Linked DNA regions of Struthio camelus. The protein of the gene in region 3 interacts with the protein of the main gene of each other region in a biochemical or structural test. Links are inferred from orthologs where the notes say so. Each region holds a gene or a part of one and is shown on either strand. Other genes may lie near its edges.

Evidence for each region.
Region 1: of the proteins of CCND1 (region 3) and CRYAB, one has a biochemical effect on the other in vitro, tested with the Homo sapiens proteins (2 studies listed by BioGRID, with this or other methods). The link is inferred for Struthio camelus from reciprocal best matches to the Homo sapiens genes CCND1 and CRYAB.
Region 2: the proteins of CCND1 (region 3) and CDK6 form a complex in vitro, tested with the Homo sapiens proteins (3 studies listed by BioGRID and IntAct, with this or other methods). The link is inferred for Struthio camelus from reciprocal best matches to the Homo sapiens genes CCND1 and CDK6.

Annotation. Positions count from the first base shown.
Region 1 is NC_090963.1:2,722,985-2,732,144, reverse strand, and holds the start of CRYAB (alpha-crystallin B chain), read right to left. Parts: upstream 4,210-9,160; 5' UTR 3,988-4,209; coding exon 3,790-3,987; intron 1,171-3,789; coding exon 1,048-1,170; intron 1-1,047. Other genes in the region: HSPB2 (heat shock protein beta-2), read left to right, coding at 5,914-6,007, 7,144-7,625. UniProt on the Homo sapiens protein: May contribute to the transparency and refractive index of the lens. Has chaperone-like activity, preventing aggregation of various proteins under a wide range of stress conditions.
Region 2 is NC_090943.1:27,482,979-27,492,688, reverse strand, and holds the start of CDK6 (cyclin-dependent kinase 6), read left to right. Parts: upstream 1-5,857; 5' UTR 5,858-6,217; intron 6,218-6,229; exon of another isoform or gene 6,230-6,344; intron 6,345-6,987; exon of another isoform or gene 6,988-7,140; intron 7,141-7,397; exon of another isoform or gene 7,398-7,552; intron 7,553-7,659; exon of another isoform or gene 7,660-7,845; intron 7,846-8,229; 5' UTR 8,230-8,488; coding exon 8,489-8,721; intron 8,722-9,710. UniProt on the Homo sapiens protein: Serine/threonine-protein kinase involved in the control of the cell cycle and differentiation; promotes G1/S transition. Phosphorylates pRB/RB1 and NPM1.
Region 3 is NC_090946.1:32,622,270-32,632,062, forward strand, and holds the start of CCND1 (G1/S-specific cyclin-D1), read left to right. Parts: upstream 1-5,539; 5' UTR 5,540-5,659; exon of another isoform or gene 5,660-5,717; intron 5,718-5,886; exon of another isoform or gene 5,887-6,064; intron 6,065-6,281; exon of another isoform or gene 6,282-7,193; 5' UTR 7,194-7,289; coding exon 7,290-7,302; exon of another isoform or gene 7,303-8,172; intron 8,173-8,596; coding exon 8,597-8,991; intron 8,992-9,793. UniProt on the Homo sapiens protein: Regulatory component of the cyclin D1-CDK4 (DC) complex that phosphorylates and inhibits members of the retinoblastoma (RB) protein family including RB1 and regulates the cell-cycle during G(1)/S transition.

The DNA.
Region 1 (9,160 bases), on a different chromosome or scaffold from region 3:
CCAGCCCTCAAAGGACGATATTTCTGAGAGTTTGAAGTGTTTCTGTCATGAGATGCCTTTATAAAGCACCAAGACTGGCTGAAGTCAGAGACTGCCCTGCCCTAGCTGCAGGTGCCTACAGGCACAGTGTTTGCACGGAGAGACCATGCTGCAGCTCTTGCGCCAGCCAGTCTGCCTTCGTCACGCAGTGGGGTGCTGCTGTTCCTAAGATGCTGGAGCTGTATCCGGTACCACCCACACCTATTCCCAAGGGTCTCCAGAGCTCTTGTAAAACACAGCTTCCCAGTGAGCTAATGTCTGCTAAAGTATTTGGTTATTTTCCTAGCCAGAAAACTTTGCAGAAGCAGTATCAGAATTAGAAGCTTCCCGCAGCTATGTCAGGCAATGCTGTATTTCCTGACTGAGAAATCTGTGCTCCCAGAAGCTCTTAGTGCTGACAGTCACACCGGCATAGCTGCTTTACCACCAGGATTTGTTTCTGCTGAGGCGGGGAGGAGGAACTGGAAAACCCTGTTTTGTACAACCTTGTACATGGCTTTTGACTTCTCTCTGCCCAGCTGGCACACAGGTCTCCAGGGCCAGCAGGCGGTAGGATGACTGGCAGCAGAACACAACCCTTAAAGATTACAAACCGGTAAATGGGCCTTTTTCAGGAAGAGATAACCTCCTGCTAATAGAACAGGGTAATGGACTATTCATTGTGTGGTTTAATTATTAGAGTTCATTGTTAACTTATTGAATGCCTCCCTGCATTCCTGGCCTCTTCCCAGCAAGATGGAGGCTCAGAAATGCACATTTCAAAGTTGATTTTCCAGTTCGGTTCACAGTTCATATATCACCGGCAATAAAACTCTACCCTGCTGCTGCCCAGTCTGGGATTAGTGGAGGGGTTACACAGAGCATCTTCCGTTAGGATCAGTTGATAAAAACCACTAGAAGCGTTTGCAGATGAGCACAGAACAGGACGGGTTTGCAGTCTCCTTGTTTAACCACAGATGAGGAAGTTCAGAACTGACTCTATCAGTCACATAGTAAGAGCAAAAGTACCTGGCGCTCCTCATGTTTCCCGTGAATATCTATCATGTCTCCTAACACCTTGACTTTCAGCTCCTCAGGAGAGAAATGCTTCACATCAAGGTTAACAGAAAACTTGTCCTTCTCCAGTCGCATCTGCAAAATAAGGAGATGACTTCAGAGAAGAGCAGGTGAGGGTTTCAGCCTTAAAAGGTGCTCAGAATATAACAGTTCAAGACTTAAGCGGGTACCTCCACATGCCCTCACCTAAAAAGCTGAGAAGAAACAGCACTGTCCGATCTCCCTCATCCAGCCCTGGGGTTCTGACCCAGCTGGGTTTGTCTCTTTCTAGCCTGTTACACTAGTGCCCATCACTAAAGTGTGATGCCTTTCTTTCTCTTGATTACACGGCGTAAGTGTTTTCCTGGGGGTGGCGAAGAGACTCTCTCAACTTGAATTTGCTAAAAGGGACTCATTAGTTGGCCTGCAGGTTTTGTATCTGGTTCTTTTTACAGAATGTCTGCAGATTTCCAGTCCCTGTAGCTGGATTTTGCAAGGTCTTTAAAGAAGCCTGACCGTGCAGCTAGCTGACTGCGGCTCATCTGTGCCACTTGCAGGCTTTCCCCTCTATTGTCACTCTCTAGTAACCAAAATAATGTGTCACCAGCAAACACTGCCACCTCACTACCTGCCTCTCTTATCTGAGCAGCAAGATTTCTGATGAAACTGAGTCACCTGCTGCTAATCTTGCCTCCTTCTCCTTCATTTTATGCTTTATCACCTCTAGCAAATGCTGCTTTTTCTGGTTCCTCTGGTGAGGTTGCTTCACCTTTGTTTCCCATCACCTACCTCCGTGGCTTGGACAAGCTCCTGGGACTTTGCTATGTGAGCTGGCTATCTCTGCCTTCCTATTGCATTCGTGGTGAGGGAGCACGCAAGCCTCCCGGAGCTCTGCTCTGGGACGTGGAGGTAGCCTCCCTGCCAGCTCTACGCTTGCTGGTTTCTGCTTCCTTCTCCTCCTTCAAACGTATTTGTGACAGAGATTTCTCCACTGAGGCAGTGGGATGCTGTTTTCTATGGTGCTTGATATGGCTGCTTCTGGGGACAGCCAGTCCCCGTTTGCCAAATCAAGTGAAACATTATGGAAAGATTAAGAAATACTTTCCTCTCGCTCCTTTGGCTTAGAATAGCTCTGCAAGTTACTTGTAAATAGACAGCTGACTTGCAGACCAGGCAAGGCCCTTCGAGCTGCATGCCCCTTGGCTCAGCCCCCGCAGCACTGCCACTTTGAGCCAGAAGAGCTACTGGTGGGGCCGTGGCGCCTATAAGACCACGCGAGTCCAGTCGTATACAAGCATCTCGCCATCCCCACGGCATCCAGGGCTGCTAGGGATGCACAGCAGCCCGTTGTCTCCCTGCCCCAGGGCCACTGCAGCAGAGCTCCTGGCCGCACAGGTTGTGTATTAGTCCCCCAGCTCCGCCGCTGCTACGAGAGCTGCTGCTCTTCCTGCGCTGCTCCTGGCCGCGGGACCTGCTGTGAGCCGAGCGAGGGCTGGAGAGGTTCCCGTAGTGGGGACCAGCTCTGCCCAGAGGGAGGGCAGCCCTGGGCTTCCCAGGCTCTGCCAGCCACAGCGGACACTTGTCGGTGAGGTGCTGGGGTCTGGTGTAGCCAGCGCAGGGCAAAGCAATGCGGGAACCACCGGAGAGCTGGGAGCTGCGCGCCTTCCGCTCAGAGGCGACACGATGTCTGGGGAAAAAGTGGTTTGGAGATCGGATTTTCCTGGCTCTTCTCTGCAAAAGGTGCTGGGGCTCCGAGGGTGAGGGCAGGAGGAGAGGCGGCCGGCGGCAGGCATGCCTGCCCCGTCGTGCGCTGGGTCTCCCACAGCAGGCCGGCAGCGCCAGGGCTCAGCCATCCGCCTTTTAGGAGGAAGGCCGTGCAGGTTGGTTCCCCCTGCGAGTTACAGACAGGCAGGATTCGCTCCTGACGTCCGCCCAGGATCTCTGGCCTGTGCTGACACCTAGATGCGGCCTCCTCAGCTCAGCACAGATGTGCCCGGTGGTGATGTATCCCAGCAGCTGCTTGGGGATGCAGCACCACTCCGGCCTCCGAGGGAGAGCCACTCCTCGCTAGGTTTTCCTCTAGCCTCCCCGGAGCACTCTGGCCAGGATAAAAGTCGTCTTCACCCCTGGGATCACTACGAACATGCATGCAGGTCCAGAAACGCGAAGCAGCTCTCACTGCATTGGCAGAACAAGGGAGTGTGGGAGACAGACAGGGCTGGAGGGCTATTTCGTGGTCAGTTGGGTCCTGTGTATTTCTCAAAATGCTGCTCTGCTCAGCAGTGACACTCCAAAACGGACCCCTTTTTACCCACGAACCCCAGCCTCCCGTACGAGGATCCCACCGCTCCGGGGCTCCCTTCCCTTCTCAGGAGGGAGTGGGTTTGAAAGTTTCGCAGAGCAGACAGGGAATTTAGGTTTCGTCCTTTCTCCCCTCAACTCTTACAGTCATTTGCAGCACAGACTCAGCTCAGCCTGCCTGTGCCCAAGGCTATGGCAATGCTTGCTCGCAGTCAGGAACGGTTAGCAGAGCAGGCAGAGGCCCTTGCCCGCTGCGGAGAAGCGGAGACACAAGCACAGCACCTTTTCCCCCAGGCTTTTCCTAATAACCGCCTGCCAGCAGCTTCCCAGCTCTCAGCCATCACGGTCCCCAGCTCCAGAGACATCAGGATGTGCAGGCAGCAATAGCACAGAGCAGTAAGAAGGGAAGGTTACCTCAGAGAGCCCAGTCTCTATCCAGCTGGGCATCCGAAAGATGGGAGATCGCATCAGGAAGGTGCTGAGGCCGGGGGAGGTAGGGAGCAGCTCCGACTCCTGCAGATGCTCCCCAAAAGTCTGGTCGAAGATGCGACTCGGCGCCAACAAAGACAGGAGGGGCCGGCGGATCAGGGGGTTGTGGATGGTGATATCCATTGGAGCGTGCGGGAGGAGCGGGGCCGGCGACTGCTGCAACGCTCGGCGGGGAGCCGGGGCAGCTTTATAGCCGTGCGGCTGGCCTGGCTCCCCCCGCCGAGCCCGCGCAAACGGTGATGTCAGGGATTTTATTGTCCCACTCCTGGGCCGGTCCCTTCAGCTGTGCCCAGTAGCTGTCTGGGGGATTTGAACACGCTGCTGAGGAGGAGGGGGAAGGCGAGAAGAAGAAAAGGAGTCTGACGGGGCAGCAAGAAGCCAAACTGCCCCGCCGCCCGCCCTGCTCCCCCACGTGCTGTTTATCTGCAGAGTCCCAAGCCGGCTTGGCTGATGCTCCCAGCTGCTTCGGATGCCAGCAGGATCAATGCAGCTCCTATCTTTGGCTCACACGGAAAATGAAAAGGGGCTGTTGTTTCTGCTGCCAGCCTCGGGGCTCTGGCTCCCGGCATCACCCACGGGTCTGGGGAGAGCTCTGCCTCTCCTCCAGGCAAAGGAAGCCAGGGCTGGTTTAATGAGGGGGAAATCAGTAAAGACCCCAGGAGATCTGGTTGCCCCCAGCAGAGTGGCTCTCTGCAGCCCGGCACGCACAGGCGACGTGAGCCCCGCCGCCTTAGTGCAGGCCCGCTGGTCTGGGCGCAAACGAAAGATGCCTTCCTCCACAGTGCATCAAACTGCTTTGCCCACTGCAGAAATGAGTTCGCTGGAGAGAGCAGAAGAGCCTAATACTCGGTGAGCTCAGCCCTGGCGGTGCAGGAAGGGCTGCTGCCCGGTGACGTGCCCTCTCACGGAGGCAAGCTGCATGCTTGCCTGCCCCTGTCTGCTTGTGCTCCTGCAGTAAGCTCATTTCCTATAATTAATACTCCTAATATGCCCTAACTTTTTTGCCCATTTGCCTTAATTCCTGCTCGTGAACATGGGACAAGGTTCAGCCCTGGGGCTGTCCTTACAAGTCAAGAGCTAGTCCGTGCCTCTGAGAGCTTGCAACTCAAATACAGGTTACTGGCTCAGCGGCACATCCTTCTTGCTGCTAGCACCACTGGTCCCTTGCGCAGGGCTCTGGCCCTCTTCCTTTCAACTTGCCTGCTGGACTGGGGAGCGGCTTTCTCTCTGCGCAACAGCCCGGGCCGTAAATGCCTCCTCCAGTTCCACATTACATCAACGGCAGAGCACCCGCTCTCTCCTGCTGCGGGGACGTGGACTCAGGGCGATCTCTGGTTTCAGGGTATAAGGAGCTTAGTGAGGACTATCCCTCCCAGTTCAGTAAAACTGGACCTATGCCAAATTCAGCTCCCCAGTTAACTGAGGGTCCCTGCCTTGGGCATTTCTCCAGGTCTCATCACACAATGCCGAAGCCCAGGACCAGGTGGACCGCCATCTCCAGCAGCACCGTCTGGGTTGTGGAGGTGCTGGTAGAGGGATCTGGATCCCGTCTAGGCCAGCTTAACCTGGGCTAGTTTAACCTGCAGGACCTTAGCGCTCGCAGGAACAAAAGGCTCGTGCCTCCACGCGGCTCCTGGGAAAACCAAGCTCCTCTGTAGGGCATAGGATGGGTAGGCAGCGGTGCCCAGCATCCAGCCGGCTCTCCCCCGCTCCACGGCCTCCCCCAGCTCGCCCCCTCGCCACCCGGCCCCGCTCGGCGGCCCGCTTGCCTCCGCACGCCCTGCTCAAGGAGCAGATCCCAGGGGAGGCGCAGGATTTTCGCCAGGCACCCCCGCCTGCGGCAGTGCCTGGACTCCCCGCAGGAATGCAGCAAGGAGCTTCCCTCGTCACCCTGGCGAGGCGTCTCTGGGCCTGTGTGCGCGGCTATTTTGGTCCGTCTTTTTATCACACACTCCTCCCTGTGGAATTCACCCCATTAAAGCCTTGCAATCTGCAGCCTTCACTCTCAGCGGCAGCGAGCGCTCGCAAGGTCCCCGTCCCGGAGGCACCATGGCTGCACGGACCGTCCCCCACGCCTACCCCATGAGTTCGGAGTACGAGTTTGCCAGCCCCAGCAAGATCTACGACCAGAACTTCGGGGAAGGTAAGGAGGAAGCCGGCGTCTTCCCGGCACCTTTCCGTCCTCCGAGGCAGGAGAGCCGGCAGAGTCCCTCTGGAGGGATTCACCTCCAGAGCGGGCCAGCGAGGCTGGAGCCAAGGGAGCTGCGGAGCGCAGGAACCCAGGTCAGATCAGGGGGCACATCTGGAGAGTGCCTCTGCCGGTTCGCTTCCCTCCATCCCTGCCTCGTTCCTCTCCTCCCCTCCCTCACACCCCCACCTTGCTGGCCTTCGTGCGCATGCTGTGCAAACACGGAGCGAAACGCCCTGCTGCAACCCTTCTACATGTCGGGCTGCCGTCCCCCGGCAGCCCCCGGGTGCCTCGTGCCCCACGCTAACCCCAGCAGAAGGCCGTACGGTCACAAGGCTGCGCAGGACCTGCCTCCATGCTCTCCTTCGCTAATAAGGGATGGCTGAGCGGAGACCCCCCACCTGCCCACCTCCCTGCCCCAGCTGCTGTGAGCAGCCGCCGGGCAGAGCTCCTGAGCAGAAGGGCCACTGCCACAGTGCCAGGGGCAGGGATGAAAATTAGGCCCTTTTGGAAAGTGCTAGTGCAGGGAGGGGTTTTTGCAGCCGGGGGCAGTGGAGAAAAGCTGAGCTGGGGTGTTGAGCACAAAGCCCGGCAGCGGCTGGCAGCGGGGAAGGAATGTGGGCAGCAGCAGAACCATTCAGCACCCGCACAACAGCGTGAAAAGGCAAAAAGCCCCAAGAAAAGCCCCCCAGACAATGGCACACAAAAGGGCTTTAGTTCCTCGGCCCAATTTCTTCACCGTCAGCGTTTTCCGTGCCCAGCCCTGCGCCTGGCTCCGCAGAGCACCCAGCGCACCTACCAGTCCCTCCCTGCCCGGCCGGCAAACACCCGAGAGCTGGCCACCAGCCCTTGGCTGCCTGGCGGGAGGTGGTGGCCGGCCGGCGGCTGGCCCCAAGCATGTGCTTTGGAGACACAAAGGCAGGAACAGCTGGAGATTCGCTCCCTTTTGTGCAGCTGGTGCAGCTGCAAAACCAAGGAACCTGTTTGCCACATCCCAGCCTCCTCCTGTCCCCATCACATCTGCTGCCAACCATCCTCCTCCCACTCCTTCCCCTGGGAACCCCATGCTCCTCACTGGGTCTCACTTTCAGGTGTGTCCCCATGTGAGATTTTAGCTCCTGCCCTGTATCATGGCTACTACATCAGGCCTCGGATCAACAAGCAGCTGGATCGAGGCACCTCCGAGATCAGCCTCAACGACCACAAATTCCAGGTGTTCCTGGATGTCTGTCACTTCTTGCCGGATGAGCTCACTGTCCGCACCGTGGACAACCTGCTGGAGGTGATGGGGCAGCACCCGCAAAAGTCTGACCGTCACGGCTTCATCTCCCGAGAGTTCACCAGGACCTACATCCTCCCGCTGGATGTCGACCCCTTGCTGGTGAGAGCCACCTTGTCCCATGACGGCATCTTAAGTATTGTGGCTCCTCGGACCGGGAAGGAGGTGAAGGCCAGAGTCAACGAGGTGAAGATAACCCACCAGAAGCAGCCGGAGGGCAAGGAAGAACAGCCCAAGGAGGAACAGCCCAAGGAGGAACAGTCCAAGGAAGAGAAAGAGAAAGAAGAATCCTAAAAGTCCCAGAGCTGGGCTGGAGCAGGGGGTGGGGGGGATGTCTCAGTGCCAGACCCCTATTTCTCACCACCAGTGCTTAGCAGAGGCGTGAGACCGGAGAGGTGCCCGTGCCAGACTCCTGCTTCTGAAGGCTGCTGGTTGGAAAAAGGGGCTTGGAATTGAAAAAAGAGGGGAACTGAAATGTTAGTGTGGGGAACTGTCATGTAAGTTTTCTCCTAGGTCAAGTGCCCGCTGAGCACCGTGCAGGGTGGTGCTCTTTGCCCATCCCAGATCGCAAGGGTCACTCTTAGGCGAGACAGCCAGGCTGCATCGCTGCAGACTGAAACAGCTGCTGTGCTCCAGCCTGGAAGGAGCTGCTCTTCCAGGGTGCCGGGAAGAGGGAAGGGGTGCTCCCGGCACCTCACTCCCGGGCCGGCCGCCGACCGCTGCGGACAGTGCTGGAGATGGAAGGTGCGTGCCTCTCTGCAGAAGTGCCCACAGCTCTCAGGACGAAAGAGGAATAAATCTGACTCTGACCTTCTCTTCTTTGCCTCAGATTCATATTGCTTCTGGCCAAGTCACTGTGCAGTGGAGAGCATGGATGGCGCCTGAGCTGCTCCTGAGGCGCTGAGCGGAGCAGCGGGCAGCTCCCGCTGCGCGTGGCTGTCGAAATGGCACCAAGGGGGACTTGGAGGGCAGCCCAAGGGAGCCCTGCCATCGTCCCTGCCCGCTCCAGCACAGCCAGGGTCATTCACCCCTGCAGGGAGCCTGCGGCAGGCAGGAACCTCTGGGAGGAAAGGCTGAGGGCGACGGGCTCTTGGAGGCTCACTGTGCGTGTGCCGGCACCTGGCTGGCGCCCCGGCGCTCTCCGGGGAGTCGCAGAGCGGGTGAACGTGGCCCCCTTTGCAGGCGCCGTGATGCTCAGGGCGCATGAGGAACGTCTCCCCGGTCTTGCGCTACCCGGCCAGGGATGGCGTGCGCGACCGATGGCTGCAGCTGCCGCCCCGGCTGGCCCCGAGGCTCAGCCGGTGCCTGTCTCGATCCCCGTCAGTGCCAATCAAAGCAGCTAAAACGCTGTGTCACTGACCAAATATGGGGGGCCCTGGCACGCCGCAGCGCAGCCCTCCCATGGGGGAGAGAGCAGGCTCCCAGGCCGCGGCGGGGGCTCGGGGAGCATCGCTCTCGGCCCGCTGGGAGCTGCTCTGCTGGCCCTGAGCGCTGCCCCCGTGAAGAAACAGGGCCAGAAACGCCCCACGCAGGAGCCTGCCCCATGCAGCCTGCCTCCTGGCTTGCTCAAGCACCGGTATAAGGCTGCTCTTTCGCTCTCGCCAGGCAAGGCAGCACCCAGACCAGAGCGAACCGCTGTGCAGCTATTTTCTGCTCCTCGGGGCCCCTGCCAGCAATGAGGACTGAAGTGAAATTAAGAGCAGCCCTGAGGGCCTTGCCAGCCCCGGGAGAGAGGGAGCGGGAGGGCGGCAAAGCCTCCGTCCCACCCCGGTCTGTACCACTGAGGGATGCCACACCAGCTGCTGCCAGTGAGCGTTTCAGAAGATGCT
Region 2 (9,710 bases), on a different chromosome or scaffold from region 3:
AGATCTGGCTCTGCTTCTGCTCCTCCACTGAATAGAAGAAAACATGGATTAAGAAGAAGCGGTCTACAAAATGTGGGAAGAGAACAGGGCATGGCCACGCGCTGCGTGTCTGTACATGTAAATAGTTACACCTACTTAGCTGAAGCAGGTGTAAAAGCCACTACAACAAATAAGCAAAACAGAAGGGAAGAGGGAAAACTCCTACCCATGCCAAATATTGCTACGAAGAGGTGTGGAGGGGTACGGTGCCAGCAAGCAGTGACGGTAACTTAGGGAAAACACTTGGAAGAGAATAAAATACGGGTCAGCTTTCTGCCGTGTCCCTAAATCACTGCCTGTTGCCAGCTGCGGGGTGGTCGGTACGTCTGCCCCGTGAGCCCCGTCCCAGACTTTTAATCCCGCGGCCGAGGCAGCCCCTGGGCTGGGAGCGGGAGCGGGAGCGGGAGCGGGAGGAAGGGCGCCAGCGAGGAGCCACAGATGGGAGATGGCCGGGCTCCTCGGGAGTGCCACCTCGTCCCGCCGGCCGCGGGGTCCCAGCAGGCGCTGGCAGGCTGGCCGCCGGCAGGCCCGCTGGCGCGCTTCCCGCTGGCCCTCCTGCCGGGGATTTGGCGAGTCCGGCAGCGTCCCCAGCTGCCGGTCCAGTGGCCGAAAATGTGCCGCTGGCACCGGGCTGCTTCCGGAGCCCCGCGCTTCAGCTAGATCGTAGGAGCAGGGGTCCAGGCATCGGGATTTTTTTTTTCTCTGCGTTTTTTTTCACTGCTCGGCAGCGTGCTCTCCAGCACGTCTTGGCGCTTCTCGAGGCTTGGTTTCCCGGGCTCAGCCCTGGAGAGGCTGCAAGCCCTCTGGTGCGAAGGCTGCCTCGGGTGGAACGCCGGCTCGCTGCGCGGGGCGAGAGGGAGCCGTGCAAACACCGGCCAACGAGCTGCTTTCTGGAAAGAACGTCTGCGTTTTGCCCTTGATTTTCCCCTTGCGTAAGAAACCCAAAAGGCAACTTTCTAAAGAAAGCCGATGAAGCTGTGTGGCTCTCAGCTGAAGAACTGGACGAGAAAGTGCGCCCGGTGGCTGCAGCCAGGTGCGCTGGGTGGAACACGCAGCCCGCGCAGGGGCGAAGGCGCTCGCCCTGCTCGCAGGCTTGCTCTGCACATGGCGTGCTTCTTGGCCGCTCCTGCGACTAGCAATTACTAACGCATACACAAACAAATACGGGGAAGTGCGTGTGTGTGCTTAAACCCCTAACATTATGTTATGGTTCTTTGTACGAAGAAACAATAGCCCCACAGTATAGTTTATTGCTATAATAACGGAAAGATACAATTTGTAAAACATAAAATTATCCACTCTAAACAAAGGCTCTGATTGAAAGAAAAATAAACTAAACAATCACACTGTAATTGGCTTAGATACCTTAATCACTGCCAATTATACAGTGGTTGCATACATTTTACATGGATTTAGGCAATATTTTCTCTCACTGGAATTAGTTAAAACATTATGTGACTCTTAATAAATTATTTTTCTGTAAATATGGCTTAGATTTCTTTGTGTTCTGATTCAACTGTTTAAGAAGGTACGTGATTAAACTAACTTAACACTTCATATTGGAATTAATTGTTAATGCTGAAATGTATTAAAAACACATTTCTTATTGTACCTATGCTTCATCAAAAGCAGCTGCAAAATATTTAGTATATATTTATAATGCATTTGCACACATATTTAACACAGCTAGTGATAGATGAAAATAATTATTTCCCAGGTTCAGTATGAGATGTGATATCTGAACCGTGTTCTTAGGGATAATTGCCTAAGAAATATTACTGCTAACTGTTTTGTTTATAAAACCACTTTCTGTTTGCTAAAGGGACTTTCTAAAAAGCTACATTTATGCTACGATATTCAAACAAATTCTAGCTACTGCAGGTTCTAAATATTCATGTTCTTAATTGAGCTCTGTCACTTCTGCAAGAACAATAGTTATTCTCTCATCTCTGTAGGTGTTTTCTTGAGGATAAACGCCTAGCAAAATCGGTTAAAAATCCTATCCACTAAAACTGAAGATGCAAGTTAATAAACAAAACCTGACAGTACGAATAGCACCATAATCAAAGTGATTTTGTTTCCAAAAACTTTTCTGAAAATACTTAGCTTGAAGAGCAAGTTTCACACTGTTTTGTCTAACTCTTCTTGTAAGATCAAACCGAGGAATCCCCAGCAGAAGCTTAGCTGTTCCTGAAACGCAGATAAAATGCACAAAGCAAAACAATACAGTGCGTCTCATCCTTTTTGAAAGTCTTAGTCTATTCATAACACTTCTTGGTATTGCCCACTACCAGCTCATTTTAATCAATTGCTGTACACTCATTCTGATAATTGCTTGTTAGCCATTTCACGCCACTGGCTTATTCATTATTTCCAGCAAAACATGACAGACCTCATTTTATGAATATGATTATTATGCATCATAGAATATGAATTTAATCTTAGTTTCAGTGTGGTTTAATTTCAAGTTTTATTTCATTCAGATGACACATTAGACTTTTCCTGTTTCAAATGTAGTTCATTATAAGTTGTTTTTCTTTTTCAGTGTTATTTTAAAAAAAACTAGAATTAAAAAATGCTAGGATCGAAAAAAGATTGAAAAACATAATTTCACAAAGCAGAAGAAAAACAGGAAAGGTGCTGATGTAGAAAGAGATTCCTTTTCTTCCTCTTTAGATGTGCGTTCCTAAAGTTTTGTTTTTCCAGTACAATAAATATTTCTTATAAATTATTTAGAAATAGCAACAGATGTTATTCTGACTTCATTTCATAACAGTAGTTATTGAACTTATTAAAACATTATTTTCTCAGATTAGATGTAAATTTCTAAAAATGAATGAAGGTATTTTCAGTAATAAAGGAAATACAGGATATAATAATTTCTGTATAGAAAAACTTCCATTCTTGATAGAAAATAACATGTATGTTCACCTACTCTAACTCAGAAATGTTAAATGTAGAGTGTTACTTTTTTGAAAACAAAACATCAAACATTTGTAAAAGATTGTTACAAAAAGAAAATGAATCTCTATTTAAAATATATTGTTTTGATGATATATACCGTTTTTAAAATGTATGTTATTTGAAACATCCTGACTTTCCACTTTAAAACAAAGGTAAAAGATTTTACATTTTCAAAAAATCCATCCAGTCTAGGTAAGTAATTTCATCCTCTACAACAAATTACTGGCAATACAATCCCTATTATTAGATTGTTTATATGAAATTGTGTTTTTAAATTTCTTCCTGAAATCACATAACTTTTAGATAAAGAAAACTTCATTTTAGAGGTTTGTATGGCTTCTTTGAACTCTGTACTTTGTGACACCTAGTAGTTAAATTGCCTGATCTTACTCATGGAGAGAAGGGAAAAAAGAGCCTCATCACTCTGAAAAATTCCCTGAAAAATTCTTAGTATCACATAAAGCCACATTAACCACGCGGCACTTTTGTGTTTTACACTCACTCAGTTTGATAGAATGAGCATTATAATCTCTCACGGCTTCACTCACTACTATTGACTGCACCTCACAGAAACGCAGATAAAACATTTCTAACTGACAGAACCATTACATATATTCCCCCGAAAAATATTTGGAAAGCATGAGATAAAAGGACGAGCTTATGAGGCACAGTGTTTATTAACAGAATGGTAACATTCGAATGCAAGGGTAAATTTCAGGGGATTGCCGAATTCTCTCTTCCATGTCCATCCTGAACATTAACTTGTATATTAACTTGTCCAAAAAACCCAGTGCACCTTCAGTCACTTTTCACAAACAGAGATCGAGTAGAGTCTGGCTGGAATTTAAAGATACCAGAGATCTTCAAGGGGAGACGGGTACCAAGGCTGTTGCTTGTCCTTCCTCAAAAGGGAACCTGAGGATGATTTGCTGGACTGAGCTTGTTACAGCTCCATAAATATTAGAAAGAAGAAGAAGGAAAAAAAGTCAAGCATGATACATTTAAGAAAGCTATAAATATTACAAGATAAGGAAACAGAGCAAGGTAATCTATGTACCTACGAATCTTGTAATGTGATATGACTTTTCGCATCTTTTAAAAGAAGGTTTGATCTCTGTGTTTCAGGCTTTGTTACTTTCATATTTAAAGGTTTGGAGGGTTGCCATTAATGTCAGCATTTTTATTTTTGATAAATCATATACTTTAGCAAGTTGTTGAGGAATTTCTGTGATTTTAAATAAAATATATTACATGCAGAAACTAAGCTCTTGCAATGTATGCATGGTCTTCAGCAAACATTCACACAACAGTGGCCTTTTCCTTGAAGGGGTCGCTGGCACCAGCTCCCTGTTTTCTCCAGGGGAGATCAGAGGTCTCTCTGCTCTGCTCTCAGCCAGTTCCCCCCGACCTCCGGGTGCTACTTCTAAACCTCTGCAAAAAAGGTAGGGCACATGGCATTGCTGGTGTCAGTTTTGAAGCCAGGACAACAAATTTTGTGTGATTTCATGTCAGCCGGGTAGAGCTGTGAATTCCCACAGAGGAAATACTGTACGTGCTTCTTTCTGACTTGAATTCTTCTAGCTGTATCTATTGTCTGTGTCGTTCTGAGCCATACAGCATCTGAGGCGAAGTCTTCAGCATATACCTTCTGAGCTATAAACCCTGGGAGTTACGCTACGTTTCCCACTGTCAGAGGGGACGGGTGTCTCCTCCCTCCCAGCTAAAGCACGGGCAGACTGGCTGGGGTGGCTCCTCTGCCACTACCGCTGGAGCCACCCCGAGGGCCAGGAAAGCATGTGCTGGAAGGTAGTGGCTGGGCAGGAGGGGAATTAGGCTCTCCAGATGTGGGTGCAGATCTGTTGGCATCTGTTACGTGATTTTTTTTTCTGTGGTGAATTGCACTGTTTGTCGGAATTGGCTCTGTACAACACGTTCTGCACGTCGGGGGAGCCGCTTGCAGCGCGCCCCCCCTCCTGCCGGGACGCAGCCCCCGGCCCCGGCCCTCTCTAGCTGCAAGCCCTTCGGGGCAAAGACTTTGCATGGGGTTTTTTTGTCTTCAGCAAAGAAGTTTCTTGCTGCTTCCCGAAAGCATTCACGGGTGCTTACTTCCTGCCAGGGCTCTGTGCTCTCTCTGAATGAAAAGCAGCAAAAGCCAGAAGAATCGGCGTTTATCAGGAAAAAGAAAAATATATTTATTTCCCAGGGGGGAAAAAAAAGGGGGGGTGGGGTGGGGGGGAAGAAGAGGTTATTTATTTCCCAGCGCCTCGCACACCGACCCAGCGCGCTAGGAGCGAGCCCGGCTCCTGGGCGCTGCCGCGGCGGGCGGAGCACGCGGCCGTGCAGCGCCGAGCACGGCGGGCCGGGCCGGGCCGGGCCGGGCCGGGCCGGGGCCCCGCGCCCCCCCGCGCCCCCCCGCGCCCCCCGGCGCGCCTCGGCCCGGGCCGTGCCTGGCCGCTGCGCTCGCGGCGACCCTTGCGGTATGCGGCTGCCTTTGGCAGAGGCACATGAAGGATTTCATTGAGTGTGAAGACAGAGAGCAGAGACAGAAAGCAGAAGGAGGCGGCTGCAGCCTTTGTAGTCGGGGAGGAATGCGGAAATGTTGAAGCACTATGTCAAACTTTTTTGAAACGGGGTCAAGTCACATTCAGCCAGCGTGGGAAAGCAAGGGAGGAAAAAAAAAAAAAAGTTGAGGAGAGGGAAAAAAAAAAAAAAAGGCAAGCTGCTGCTACTCCCAGACTGAACAGAGGCCGAGAGAGCGAGCGAGGCAGAGAGCGAGCGGAGCCGGCGGAGCGCCGAGCCGAGCCGAGCCGAGCCGAGCCGAGCCGAGCCGAGCCGAGCCGAGCGGCCGCGCCGAGGGCCGGTGCCCGACCCGCGGCGGCAGGCGGCGGCCGGCGGGCTGCGGGCGCGGCGGAGCCGCTCGCACGGGGCTCCCGGCCGCCCTTTTTATTCCGTTTTTTTTTCTTTTCTTTTTCTTTTTCTTTTTTTTTTCCTCTCCCCGGGCAGGGTGGGGGCGGGAGGAGCGGGCTGGAGTACGAGCGGCAGCTGCCTGCTGCGGGAAGGTGCAGCCGGCGGCGGCGGGAGGATGCGAGCCGAGGGCGGCCGAGCCGCGGAGCAGCTACCTGTGTGGCCCGGGCGGCCGCTGCCGCGACCTGCCGGAGAAATCGCCATGTGAAGGGGCCCGGCCGGCTCCACACCCCGCCTCGCTCAATGGGAGGTTTGTTTTAGGGAGGACTCACCCCCTCCCCCCCCACACCCCTCAACCCCCCCCACCCCCACCCCGCCCGGGGCTGAAAATTATTTGGAGATTTGGTGGCGGTGGAGGCAGCCGCGGCGCGCAGCAGGTAATGCGGGAGCGCCCATGTGCTCCGCGCACCCCCCCGCCCCCGCGGCCCACACACCGCCCGCCGCCGGGCCGGGGGCGCAGGCGGCGGCCCCCCGCGGGTGGCCGCTGCCCCGCGGCGCCGCTGCCGTGGGGGCGTCCCACGCCCCGCGCGTCGGCGGCCGCGGGGCGAGGAGCGGGGGGGGGGGAGAAGGGGCGGCTCTGCCCTCCCGCGGAGCCCTCGGGGGGTCCCTCCGCGTCCGACCCGCCGCGCCCGCAGGGGAAGCGTGGGGGCACCGCGGGTCCCAGCGCGCTTCCTCGCTGTGCCCCCCGCCGCGCCCCGGCGGAGAGCTGGGCGTGGGGGCACCGCGGGGGCGGCCGCAGCCCCCCCCCCCCCCGCCGCCGCCGCCGCCCTGCGCGCGGTAACTTTCCACAGGGCGCCGCGGCCGCGCCGGGCCCGGCTCGCCGCCCCCGCGGCCACGCACACGCGCGGCGCCGCTCCCGCCGCCGGGGGGCGCCCCCCGGCCCGGCCCGGCTCGGCTCGGCTCGGCTCGGCCCGGCGCCGCCCGCCACGCGCCCCCGCGGCGGCGGTGCGCGGAGCGGCGGCGGCGGCGGCGGCGGGCAGGTCGCGGGCAGGTGGCGGCGGCGGCGGGCCGGGGCGGCGGGGCGCGCACGTCGGCGGCGCGGCCGGAGGGCGCTGAGGCGAGGCGGCGCCTCGCTGCAGCTGGAGGTGCCGCTGGGGAAAACGGCCGCGCGGCGGGCACGGGAGCTTTCCTTCACGTTGCGCCTCTTCTTTGCATCGTCGGCTACGGCGTAAGGTCAGCGCACACTTTAAATTGCTGCTGGCTCTGTGCGTGGGCTCCCGCCTAGGGGATCGCCAGTGCAGTACCTGCGGGGCTGTTATCCTAGCGTGGTAAAAATACAGCGCCGGAGCGGCTCGCAGGCGCAGTAGCAGTATACGAAAAGGGGAGGGGGAGGATCGGTGTGGAGTTATGGGGGGGGAGAGGGTTTGCCCGCGATTCTGCGGAAAGCGGGGATGAAACTGGGTGCAGGAGCGACCTGTTTTGATCTCCAGTCTCACGCACTGCACGGCGGACCACGCTGATCCTGCAGACTGGCTTTCATCCTGTGCCCCATCACACAGCGTCCGGCAAGGGGCTGCCAGTCACACATCCAGGGATAGCCGTCGCCATGGCCAAAACTCTTGCATGATCTTAACTTTGCTAAAGTGTGCGTTTCGCAAAATACCTCAGCACCAAATACTCAGTAAAACATTATTATTATTATATGTTATATGTATATATATATATATGTGTGTGTGTGTTTACTCCCCACAGGCTCTTTGAGGCAGAAGCTTGTCTCGTGCAGTGTGTTCGTGCAGTGTCTAGCACATTGGAGAGTAGATCAAGGCTGAGACTTCCAAGTGCTATAAATAAGTAACTGTAATATAGTGTGGAATATGTTTCAAGGACTCCATCATGCAACACTGAAGAAACCTTTGAGTCCTGCAGTCCTGACATAAGGTCCTGGACATAACTTCCTACCACACACGCAGAGTTAGCTCTGTCATCCACGTCTCAGTGGATATTAGGCCCATTGCTCAGTAAAGTCCCGAGGAGTGCGGGTGTGTGTTGTGCAGACCATGGTAGCTACGTAGTGTTGTATCAAGCATGCCAAGATGTTGATATCTTGTCACCCTCGTGGTTCATGTCCTGCTCTTCCTTTGCCCCATTTTTGCTTTGCAGTTAGCTATCTTCTATATTGGCTTAATTTTCTCAGTTTTAAACCATGCAAAGTAGTGAGGTAAACTGAAAGCACGAGTTGCATGTGCCGCAGCAGGGGGAGGAAGGCCGGAGGGGAGAGAACCCCAGGCCTAACTCACTTTTCTTGCTTGCTTTGTGCTTCAGATCTCCTTGGCTTTGCGCAGACGATGCTCCCCAAGACTGCATGATAGTTCCTGGTGGCTGAGGCAGGAGGCACGTCGGGGCCTGTACAGAGGAAGGACGGGAGCCGGAGGGCAAGGACTTCCTACTGCTCCTCGAGCAGAGGTACCAACCGTGCGGCGTATCTGCGACGTGAGCAAAATACTAGTTTTCGGAAAGCGGGCGAGGGCGGGAGCCGCGCCTGAGGCACTCCAGGCGCAGGAGGAAGAGGAGCGGCGCCAGCATGGATAAGGACAGCACAAACCTGGCTGACCAGCAGTACGAATGTGTGGCTGAGATCGGTGAGGGAGCCTACGGGAAGGTGTTCAAGGCCCGAGACTTGAAGAACGGCGGCCGCTTTGTGGCGTTGAAGCGGGTGCGGGTGCAGACGAGCGAGGAGGGGATGCCGCTGTCCACCATCCGAGAGGTGGCGGTGCTGAGGCACCTGGAGACCTTTGAGCATCCCAACGTGGTCAGGTGAGGAACCGGGGCGAGCGCCCTGGTCAGCAGGGCCCTAGCTGTGGTACGTGCGTGAGAGTCTGGGTACCTGCGTGGAGCAGCCAGCAGGCTGGGCTCGTGGATGAAGCGAGCGGTAACCTGGAGCGCGGTCTGAGGTTTCAGCAGGCGGCGGTGCTGCCTGCCGGGCCTCCCCTCGTCCGTGCGCGCTGCCTCCCCCGCGCGCAAACACCCGTCTCCAGAGGCGTAGGTGTGTGACTGAAGCATGGGAGTGCACGGGCAAGGAGCCATGTGTGCGCTGTCTCCGCGGGCGTAACAGAACGAAAGAAAGCGGCAGCTCTCCCGGTCTCAGGTGCTAGTGCTGCCGGCCGCAGGTGACTCTCAGCAGCTCTCTTCGGGACCAGGACGGCAATGTTTGCCACAGTGCTGATGGCGAGGGCATGCCACCTTTTCAGATGATTTTATAGACGCATGTAGCTTGTCATGGTACACACAAGGGATAGGTTAAGAATTTATGCTTTGGGGAAGGTTTTACAGCTCAGTGCTGCTTCACTGTTACTGATTTCACCGAGTGCTCATGGCTGGGCTACCAAAAGCGAAGAAGAACAAAATGCAGGCCTTGCTTTCAAAATGGTGCCACTGGCACCAGGGGTAAACCCTGAGTAAATGACCCATCAGCGGCAGCACTGGCCCTGACGTAAGCTTGTACGTTTCCATGTAACTAGAAAAGTCGAGCATGTAGTCGCTGGCTGAGTGAAACGGTTTACTGGACTTTTCAGGTTGTGATGAAGGAAGCACAAAATATGGAGGGAGTTTCTTCTAAGGCTTTTTTTTCCTGGAACACGGTACGGAGGCATTTCCTACTGTATGATTTATCTGCTGCTGGCTTTGTGCTTCAGATTTACTGCATGGTCACACCTTAGATTGACCAAAAGTTTTAGAAGATGATTTTGGTGTAGATTTCACTCACAACCTCTAGCAGCCTGTGAGAGTCTTTCTGAATGCTATGA
Region 3 (9,793 bases):
GAAAGATACCTGGGTTCCTCAGACCTCTGTTGGCTCTAAACGTTTGCACTGAGAGGCCAAGGCTTGCTGGCACCGCTCTCAGAAACGCAGATGGTGCTACAAGCACCTTCTGCCTGAGCCCTGTGACCTCCAGGGAGCTGGTGCATCTCCAAGAAGCCCTTAACCTTCTGAAGGGGTCACCTGTCTTCTTGTCAGGTCCTCTGAACAACCTTTAATCTCTATGTTTTTTATTCTAGAACAATATCAGACGGTTTGCTAGAAGACCATGCCTTTTTCAGCAGTCTTCCTGATGTATCAGGAACTTCACAGAGGACTGAACAGGAGTGGCAACACCCTACTCTCGCTGTAGCTGGTTTCAGCGAGGCTGGGTGTTCACCAGGGATGCTGGAGTACCTACATGCTCTGCCTCCTACCTTTAAGGACAAGCACCTCAAAATACCCCATTTCTTTTTGCTTGCTTGCCAGCTGGATTCTGGTGACATATTCAATTTTTCTGTGCCCTTACTCTTTGTTATTGGTATGAGGATGAAGTAGCCCATAAGCAAAAGAAAGAAATGCATTCTAGTTAGCATAAAAACTGTTCCCCTTAATTCCTTCTCTAACAGTTTGTAGCCTGTGAAATCGAAAAGGCATTTCGTGTTTAGTACAGAAATTGACTTTGGTATATCTTCATTGATTTTTACTATCAACAGAGACTTTCTATTGCATTTTTATGAGAAGATGAATACTTTACGGAGTTGTTGCAGACGTAGCAGTTAGTCTCAAGGGGTACCAGCTACATTTTTTTTGACTCCACAGTGAGCCATTTCAAGGATGTAAACCAAAAGACGACTAATTACTTCAGCAACAGCTAGTGTCTAGATTAGTTTAGGTTTAATTTCAAACTGTGCCCTTAGGCTTCAGTTCAGCAATGTATTTAAACATATGTTTATCTGTTAAGCATATGAGTAATTCCAGTGTACTTACATATTTAAATTTAAGCATCAGTTTAAGTCTGTTCCTGAATTAGCTTCTAAATCATTTGCAATCTAGCCTTGTCTCCAGTGAAAATCATTACGTTACATCCCTGGATTGCTCCAGAAACAGGAAAAAATACTCTGTGTACTTCTTGAGCAAGTTCTCTTGTTTTTACACTAACTTTTTGTTGGGGTTCAGCTTCTGTAAGCAGCTCCAGCCCCAGCCTGAATGCGAAGCTGAATCTGGGATTTGAAGAAATACTTTGGTTTTGGTCAAAATACGCTCAAACTCTACATAGATTTTAGAGAGGAGAGATAAGGTGGGGGCATGGCTTTATCACGTGTTTCAAGTAAATATGTGCCCTTCCCCTTTTCCAGATCCTCCCCTTCCCATCAGAATATTCCCTAGGAAACTTCCTGCCCTTTTCAAGACATGTTGCAATTAGCACTCATACCATGATACACATGCACTGGACACAAGCTTGAGCCTGGCAGAGATTCTGTGTGTATTTTGGGTTGGACATAAATATTAAGGGTTTATCTCAGTTTTCCCTCAGGTCAGATTCGGGTACTATACTGTTTTCCAGTTGAGAATCACTGCCAGATAGTCTCATGTAACTTCACTGAATCTAGCCATACTTCCTAGCCTGATGCAGTGAGGACTAAGGAATCCCATGTCAGTATCCTCTGAATTTTTTTAGCTTTATGAAAAAGACCTCCCTGCCGTGGTCAAGTAGATGGATGTTTTAGACAAGCTGACTGAACCTGACAGTTTTCTGAATGACAGCAGGTGGTGACAGATGAAGCACTGACTTACACAAAGCCACTTAAGTCATGAGCTGGGAATCAAACAATTATAAAGGGAATTTAGAATGGAGAGACATCCTATTTTTGATTTTGATTGTTCTTTTAAAGGGGACACCAATGCTGCGACACTTGTACAAACGCTTACGTTCTTCCTAGGCTAAGTTAATGTTAAGGCCGTACAACATTTCATACTTTGGAAACAAAACATCTCTGATGCAGCTGTTAATGAAAATTGACATTCATATTTTATTTCGAGCTTTTACTTTAATCCCACTGAAATGTAATACACGTGCAGAAAGATGATTCCTCTTTTTTCCCCCCATGAACAAATATCCACAGTTTAAGGTTGTAAAACTGAGCAATTTAGTAATGATGTAAACACAAATGAAAATTAGCCAACAAAAGAAATTCAATGGAGTTAAATAGGAGGCTATTATCATACCTTACATTCCCTTCTGTCACTAGCTGTAGCACCATGGAGAATCAGTAAGGTAAGAACTAACCATAGGGAACAAAGCAATTACCTGCTAATATGGTGCAGTAGTCCAAACACAGCAAAAATAAATTATAAATATGAATGCTACACAAAGATATAACTAAAGGTTTATGCATTTCCAAAGATATATGCTATTCCATACTAATTTTTAATCAAATTGAGTTGCACCACAAGCAAGTAAAAAAAATAACAGTTAGCACAAGCAGATCAAATTAAATGTAAATATTTCTGAAGTCTACACCAAGACTATAATCTCATCTTTCAAGGTATTCGGTTCTTCACTTCCTTTACCGAGTTAGGGAAGCAAGTAGACTAGATTCCCCAAGGCTCGTCACCCTCTATTATTATTTATATTTTTGCCCATTTACTCTAACTGCCACAGATTCAAAATGGTAGCATTCTAGAGCCACTCTGCACTCATTTGGCACACGCATAAAAGTGCACACACAAAAGGCAAAAGGTAGTAGGAATCCCAGGCAATATAAGTTTATTTGATTGTAGTCATTAGTGCTATACATTACAGGTTCAATCCTGCTCCCTTTGATGTTGATGGTAATACTCCCATTGAATTCATGTGCTCTGAAAAATGCCTGAGTTTTGCAAATTTATCATTTTGTCATCTATGCTTCAGGTCAAAATTATAATCTAGTGTTTTAGACTTGATTCTGAGCCAAATGATTTTTACTACAGGTTCAAAGAATGCAAACTTGTCCTTCAGAGAAGTGCCAATCCACTTTACGACGACGAGTAGGATGTTTGAGGCTGAGGGATCCAAGGGATACAAACATCCTGCAGGTGACTATAACCATCCTGAGCTTCCAGGGTCTCACTGCAGCAAACAGCAAGGATGTCACTCTTGCGGGGTGCATTGTGGCTGTCTCCTTAGAAAGGGTTTGGAAAGTTAGGATACCAGATACAGGATACCAGAAGCTAAAGAGACTTTCCAGCATTCTTAGTGTTATGGAACTGCATCTCTCTCAGTGAAATACCTTAAGTCAAGTCCTCAGTCATTCATGTTATCCAGTCCGCCACTTCTAAGTGAAGTAGCTTTCTTTCTTTTCTCATCCTCACTTTATGGCAGCCTCTGGTAGAGAACACTACATGGCAAGAGATGTTATGTAGTGAGAGATAAGTTCTTCTTCTGACTGCAGGCATTCAACCACTTTTAACACAAGTATTCAAGAGGCTCTGAAACTAGACAGGTGAGCGTCCCAAAAATGGGACTACGCTTTTCCCGAAGTCAACAGGAAAGAAAAGAGAATATGGAAAATATTAAATGGATGTCAGATTTAGGACATGTAGGATGTAGGACTTGTTGGACTTGTAGGACTTGTAGGACCCTCCTCTACTTCTTGTTTTACAGTGCCAGTGAAAAGAGGGGTGAAAAATACTAATACCGTGCTTCAAAAATTACTACAAGTCAGATGTCAGATGTAGGACTTGGATTTTGAAAGGATATCTCTCCTTCCCTGCCAAGGTTAAAAGCACAAGGAACCAGAACCTCACCAGAGGACTGGTAACCTGCCGCAGGCTGTGAAGGAATTAAAGAAGGTGAGAAGATTACAGGAAGCTGCAGGCCTGATCTCCAGAACTGACCCTTAGCACTGCCACTGACTTCAGCTGGAGTTAGGAAGTGTTCAGCGGTCCACGAAATCTGGCCCTGAAGAGATTATTTGCACTGGTTTTACTCAAAGAGCGTGTTGCAAAGATGCCACAAGCAGATTTACCATTTCCAGGCAGGTCTGGAAAGAGCAGATAGGGCAGCAGACTGAAGCAAAGAAATATGGCATGTGGCTGGTTGGGCTAAGTTCTCAGCTCTGGAAGAACTGGAGAATGGCTGGTAGAGTTGGTGAGAAAAAACATTGCACGTCTCATGTGTTTTTACACCAGAGAGCCCAAGGAGAATCTTTTATCATCATGTCTTCATTCTACATAGAAAAGCGCATATAGACATCTGTTGATCTCTGCAGCTAATTTTCTCTGGAGCCAACACATTTAACACATTTAAACAGGAGGCAAATCTGTCTTGATGGAGCTATTCTACCAATTTATCCTATCTGATACTCTGGCTCACAATTACTAATGCATCAATGTGGCATTTCTGGCAGAGGGAGACAAACGTAAGAAGAAGGTACTTAAGACATTCCTAAAATAACTTTTCTGCGGTGTATGTGATACATACTCCATGCTGATTTATTGGCACTTATCAGGAATTATATAAGGTAGCCTGCAAAATTTGATTAGGGCCTCGCCACTAACGAGTAATGCAGCCTAGCTGTCACACCAGAAGAATATTTGTTCCCCTCCCAACACATCATTACGTTAGCAGTCTACACTGTTACAGCGACCAAACTGCTATTCACCTCCGTGGGAGCAGCACTGAACCTATAATCATGCCAAAATACCCTCCTCTACTTCTTGTTTTACAGTACCAGTGAAAAGAGGGGTGAAAAATACTAATACCGTGCTTCAAAAATTACTATCGCTACCCAGTTCCACAACAAAATTCTGATGGGATTTATAATACGCCTTTAAACTGCCTTGCAATATTACAAAGAGGAGCTGTCAATTTGGGGAAGAGAGAAAATGTTTTTCTCCTGATTTGTAAACTGGGTTTCCACGCTCTGCCTGGCTAACCCGTGTTTTCACAGCTCACCAACCCGCCTCGGACACCGACACGTGCGCTGGTCGCTTCCATGCTGTTAGGTTGTCAAAGTGCACTGTCAGCTGAGGACTTTCGGTAAAAAGTTCACTGCAAAAGAGAAGCAAGAACTGTAGCGGCTCTTCTTTAACTCAATGGTGATGGAAGAAAAGGATTTCCACTACAGCGTCTTTGCTCTGAGAATTTTAGTGTGTAAATACGTTTGTCTTATTCACTTCGACGCCGTCACCCAGGCTCCCTTTCTTGCCCGTCCTTCCGGCCGGTCCTTCCATTTTTGGCATGGCAAAACCATAACGAGAAAAGAACAGCCCTCTTCCCGCTCCTCTTCCTTCCCCTCATTAATTTCACCTTCGTCCCTTTTCTCCGCTTACCTCCGTGGTCAGGCTAAACTCGGCCTAACTCCCAGCACCGGCTGCCCAGCCCGGCCCCGGGCCCAGCCCCGACCCTTCCTCCCCCGCCGCCCCCGGCCTCGGGGCAACGATCTGCCCAACGGGCCTCTGTCAGCGCCGGGACCGCAGCTCGCTGCCGGCCTCCGGCGCCCACCCGTGCGCGCGGCCCCTGGCGCCCCCGCAGACACACGGCGCAGGGGCGGCGGGGCCGCGGCACTTCAGTGCCTCCCGCCGCAGCAGGCACCGCTGCTCCCCCCCCGGCCCGGGCGGGCCCGGCCGCGCCGCCCCGGCGCTCGCTCGGGCCGGTTTGAGGCGCGCGGCCGGCGGCGCGCCTCTTCGGGAGCTTACGGTAGGCGGCGGCGGCGGTGGCGGCGGCGGCGGCGCGCCGGCCCCGCCCGCGCCGCCCCGGCGGGGCGGGGCGGGCTCGCGCCGGCGGCGGGCGGCGGCGGCGGCGGCACGGCCCCAACGGCGGGCGGCGGCGGGGCTCGGCCGCCCCCGCCCCGCGGCGGGCGGGGTGACATCATGAGAAAGTGCCGGGGGAGGCGGGCAGGAAGCGCCGTCGGAAGCGGGGCCGGCGGCGGGGCGCAGCGGAGCCTCGGGCCGCCGCGGCCCGCCCGTTAAGCACGCCTCGCCGCGAGGCCGAGGGCCGCGCCTCCTCCCCCTCTCTGCCCCCCCCCCCCCGCCCCGCGGCCGTTAGAACCGTTACGGGGCCGTTTCCGGGGAGCCGCCAAGCGGAGCAGATTCGAGGCCGCGTGTGAGGGGAAGCGGCTGAGCCGGAGGGAGGGGAAGGCGCCGGCCGTTACGGGGCCTGGCCGGAGCCCCGGGGCGGCGGTGCCGGTGCCCGGGCCGGCTCCGCAAAGGCGGGCGGGGGGCCGGGGGGAGGACCTCGGCGGGGCGCGCGTGTTGCGGCGCCCTTGCACTTTTGACCAGTCCCCTTTGTGTGGCCGGGAGGGATCGGCCGCGCCGCTCGCCGAGATCTGCCTGATCCGCCTGGTAACAGATCTCCTCCCCCATTGGCTCATGCTAATGGGCGCTTCCTGCGGCCGCGCCGCCCGCGCAGCGCCGGGGGCTCCCCCGGGATCGGGGCCAGCGCCGCCGCCACCGGCACCTCTCGCCCGGCCACCCCCAGCCCCTCCGCGGCGTTTCACGAACGGAAGCCCCCACGTTGCCGGCCTCGTGGAGAAAGGAGAAAAAATGGGGGGGGGAGGTGGAAAAACCCACCCAAGCCGCAGAGGCGGCGGCAGGGCGAGGGCGCCGGAGGCGGGTGATCCTGGGCCTGGGCTGAAGGGCTTTGAGCAAAGTGACCAGAAACAAATGTTTGGAGACAAAAGTGCAGACATGACACTGGCTCCTGGGGGAGGGAAGGGGTTCGGGCCGTGCCTCGCTCCACAAAGCGCTTGGCCTGTAAAATGCCAGGCAGGCCGCACACCAACTGCCCCCTAGGAAGGTGCTGGCGGGCACGGAAGTTAATTAAATGTGATGCCCGAGTTGCCCATCGTTGGCTGGCTGAATTCAACCGGATCTGGCAGTGCGGGGTCATTGTGTGTTTTTTTAGTAAAAATCAAAACTTCCCCAGCCAGCCTAAGTCATGAAAACAGAAGTGAGCTCCCTGCGTGTGCAGCATGATAGACAAGCACGGGGACACGCTTAGGGGACTGCTTCCTTGCTGAGAAACCATCCAGATTCACCCCACAGACTGCAGTGCGCAAGGGGAACTGAGATCCTGGGGCCTCTGCCATATCCTCCTAACAGAGGAAGACAAAATAGGGACAAGTGGTCAAGCAAACTGGAAAGATGGACAGATATTTCATGCAAAGGGGTTACGTAAGCACGCAACTGTGCAACAACATGCCCTGTGATCTTTGGCACTGCTTTCCCCATAGGTCATACAGGAGAGATGCTGTATGGCTTTGTAGCGTGTCGGTTACGGCCGCGAGCCCCCTCCAGTGCTTTGAAACCTGCTGGCGATGCTTCCCTAAATGCTGTTAAGGGGTAGGTACTAGTGCTGTTAATGCTGCGCTAACGTGGTGGTAAACACTGAGGTTGGAGTTAATTTGAGCACTCAGGTGAGCAGAAGAGGAGCTGAACCCTAGTTTATGGCGTTCTCACTTCTCCCTGTCCCATCCACTTCGGTCCAAGACAAGCTGTTTCGCCCTTGGAGCCGTGGGTTGCCTTCACCTCTGCTATTTTCCAGCAGGCCCCAAGCTCCCGTCAGCCTGTTAGAAAGCGGGGAGTTGAATGGAGACTTTTTATTAGAAACAGAGCAAAACACCAAAACATTTTCACATACAAGCGGTTCAGTTGAGCTGGGGGAGCAGGAGTTATTTACGGTGGGGCCGAGCGGTTGCGCGTCACGCGTGGACAGACCGTCCTCGCGGCACAGCGCGTGCAGTGAGGCCCTGGCAGCTCTGGTGGCTGCTGGCACCTCCCCCGTGTAGGTGCTAGCTGTGCAGGAGGAAACTCCGGCCACCATTTTGCAGCTCTGCTGAGATATTTTTTCTGGGTGGCTGTGTGCAGTGGGGGTGGGGTGCTGAGTTTTGGCCTGCCGAGGGTTAACTGCTGCTTTCCGCCCTTGGAATTAGCTATCACCATGTCCCCTGCCACCGCTGAGCCGCTTTTGGAGGGTAAATACTTAAAAGTGAAAGGAAAGACATAAAGAGAGGAAGAAAAAACACCATCTTGGTGGTGGTGGTGGTGGGGGGGGGACCCTAATTTCTTTAAAATTCTCATGTGCAGCAAAAACACGCAGGCTGGGAAAAACAGGAATGAGGAAATGGGAAAAAGCTTCTCCCATGGGATTAACTACAAAGACTCTGGGACTTCAGGTCAGGAGCGCGCTGTTTTAAACAGCAGATATTCCAGGTACACATCGGTAGTAATAATAACTGGTAATTAATAGTGGCACACTGGTACTTCTCTGCCCCCCCTCCCTGGCGCCCCCAGTAAAATAATACCAACTAAGTCTCCTTGTATTTTTATCCATGTGTGTCTGTGTGTGGCCTAGCCCCATTCATCATTTGGCTCCCACTGCAGAACTCTCTCCATTTTAAAAATTATGCATGATACACTGAAGAGACAATTTGGGTTTCCCCCACCTCTCCCTTGCCCTTGAAGAAAGCAAGCCCTTGTCTCATTTGCATTTGCATTAAAACCCTGCTCTCTATAAGCTAAGCAAAGGGGAAGGACTTGAAGCCTATGGGATGGCTTTAGGGCTCTGCCCCTTGCTTTTGGCTCTCTCTCTCTCTTTCTCATTCTCTCTCGTGCTTTGATCTCTGCTTAACAACAGTAACGTCACAGCGACTATACAGGAGAGTTTTGTTGGAAGTTAGAAAGTTTTGCAGCCTCCAGAGGGCTGTAGCGGCAGTAGCAGCAGCAGCATCCAAGGGACTCCTGGAAGGGGAAGAGAGAGAGCGAGCGAGCGCCCGCCCGCCCGCCCGCCTGCCGCAGTCCTTGCGCGAGCTGCCCGGAGCCCCGGAGGCAGCCATGGAGCACCAGCTGCTGTGCTGCGAGGTGGAGACCATCCGGCGGGCCTACCTGGATGCCAACCTCCTCAATGACAGGGTGCTGCAGACCATGCTCAAGGCCGAGGAGACCTGCTCGCCCTCCGTCTCCTACTTCAAGTGCGTGCAGAAAGAAATCTTGCCCTATATGAGGAAAATGGTTGCCACTTGGATGTTGGAGGTTTGTATGTTTCGGCGATTTCTTTGCAAACTGAACTGAATTCAGGCTGCGGGCTGCTCCCCCCTCTGCTGCCGCTCGCGGCCCCCCCCTCCCGAAATAACTTCCCCCGCACGGCACACGTTGCTCTGGCTTCGGCGGCTCCCGCGTGTAACGTCGGGATTGGGGTCGATTTTATCATTATTACTGTAATTATTACTCTCTTATTTCTGCTGTAACGAGCTGCTGCTCTAGAGGGAAGGCTCAGGGCACCCCCCCACCCCCGCGCACGCACACACACACAGACACACAGACACACGCACACACACAGACACGCACCGCTCCCGAAGCGCAGGGTCTGGGGGTGCCCTGGCACCTTTTCCGGCTTTCGGACCAACGCGGTGCTAGTGCAAGGGGAGCGTGGAGAAACCTCGTTTGGAAAATGTCCCCCTTTCAGCCTCCCTGCCTGGGCGCCTTGGCTGGGAACGGCCACATCGCTGGAGCCCCCGGCTCCCCAGTCCGGGGCCATGGGGAAATCCTGCCAGTTATTTTTCTGGGGATTTTATTTTAAATTAATATCCTTGTACACGTATGCAAGTGCTGCCCGTGCCAGTATTATGCGCCATCTTTGTTCTTTTATTGCAAAGCAAAAGTGTTTATTAATCAGGAGAAAATTAGAAAGTCCCGGGGAGCAAGCCAAGGGTGTGTGTGTGGGGGTGAGCGGGCAGGGGCCGGGGAAGAAGGTCGGGGCTGGGGGTCCCCGCCGGGGCTCTGGGCAGGGGGACGGCCGGAGGGGCTCTGGCATTTCTGGGGGGAACTGCAGGGT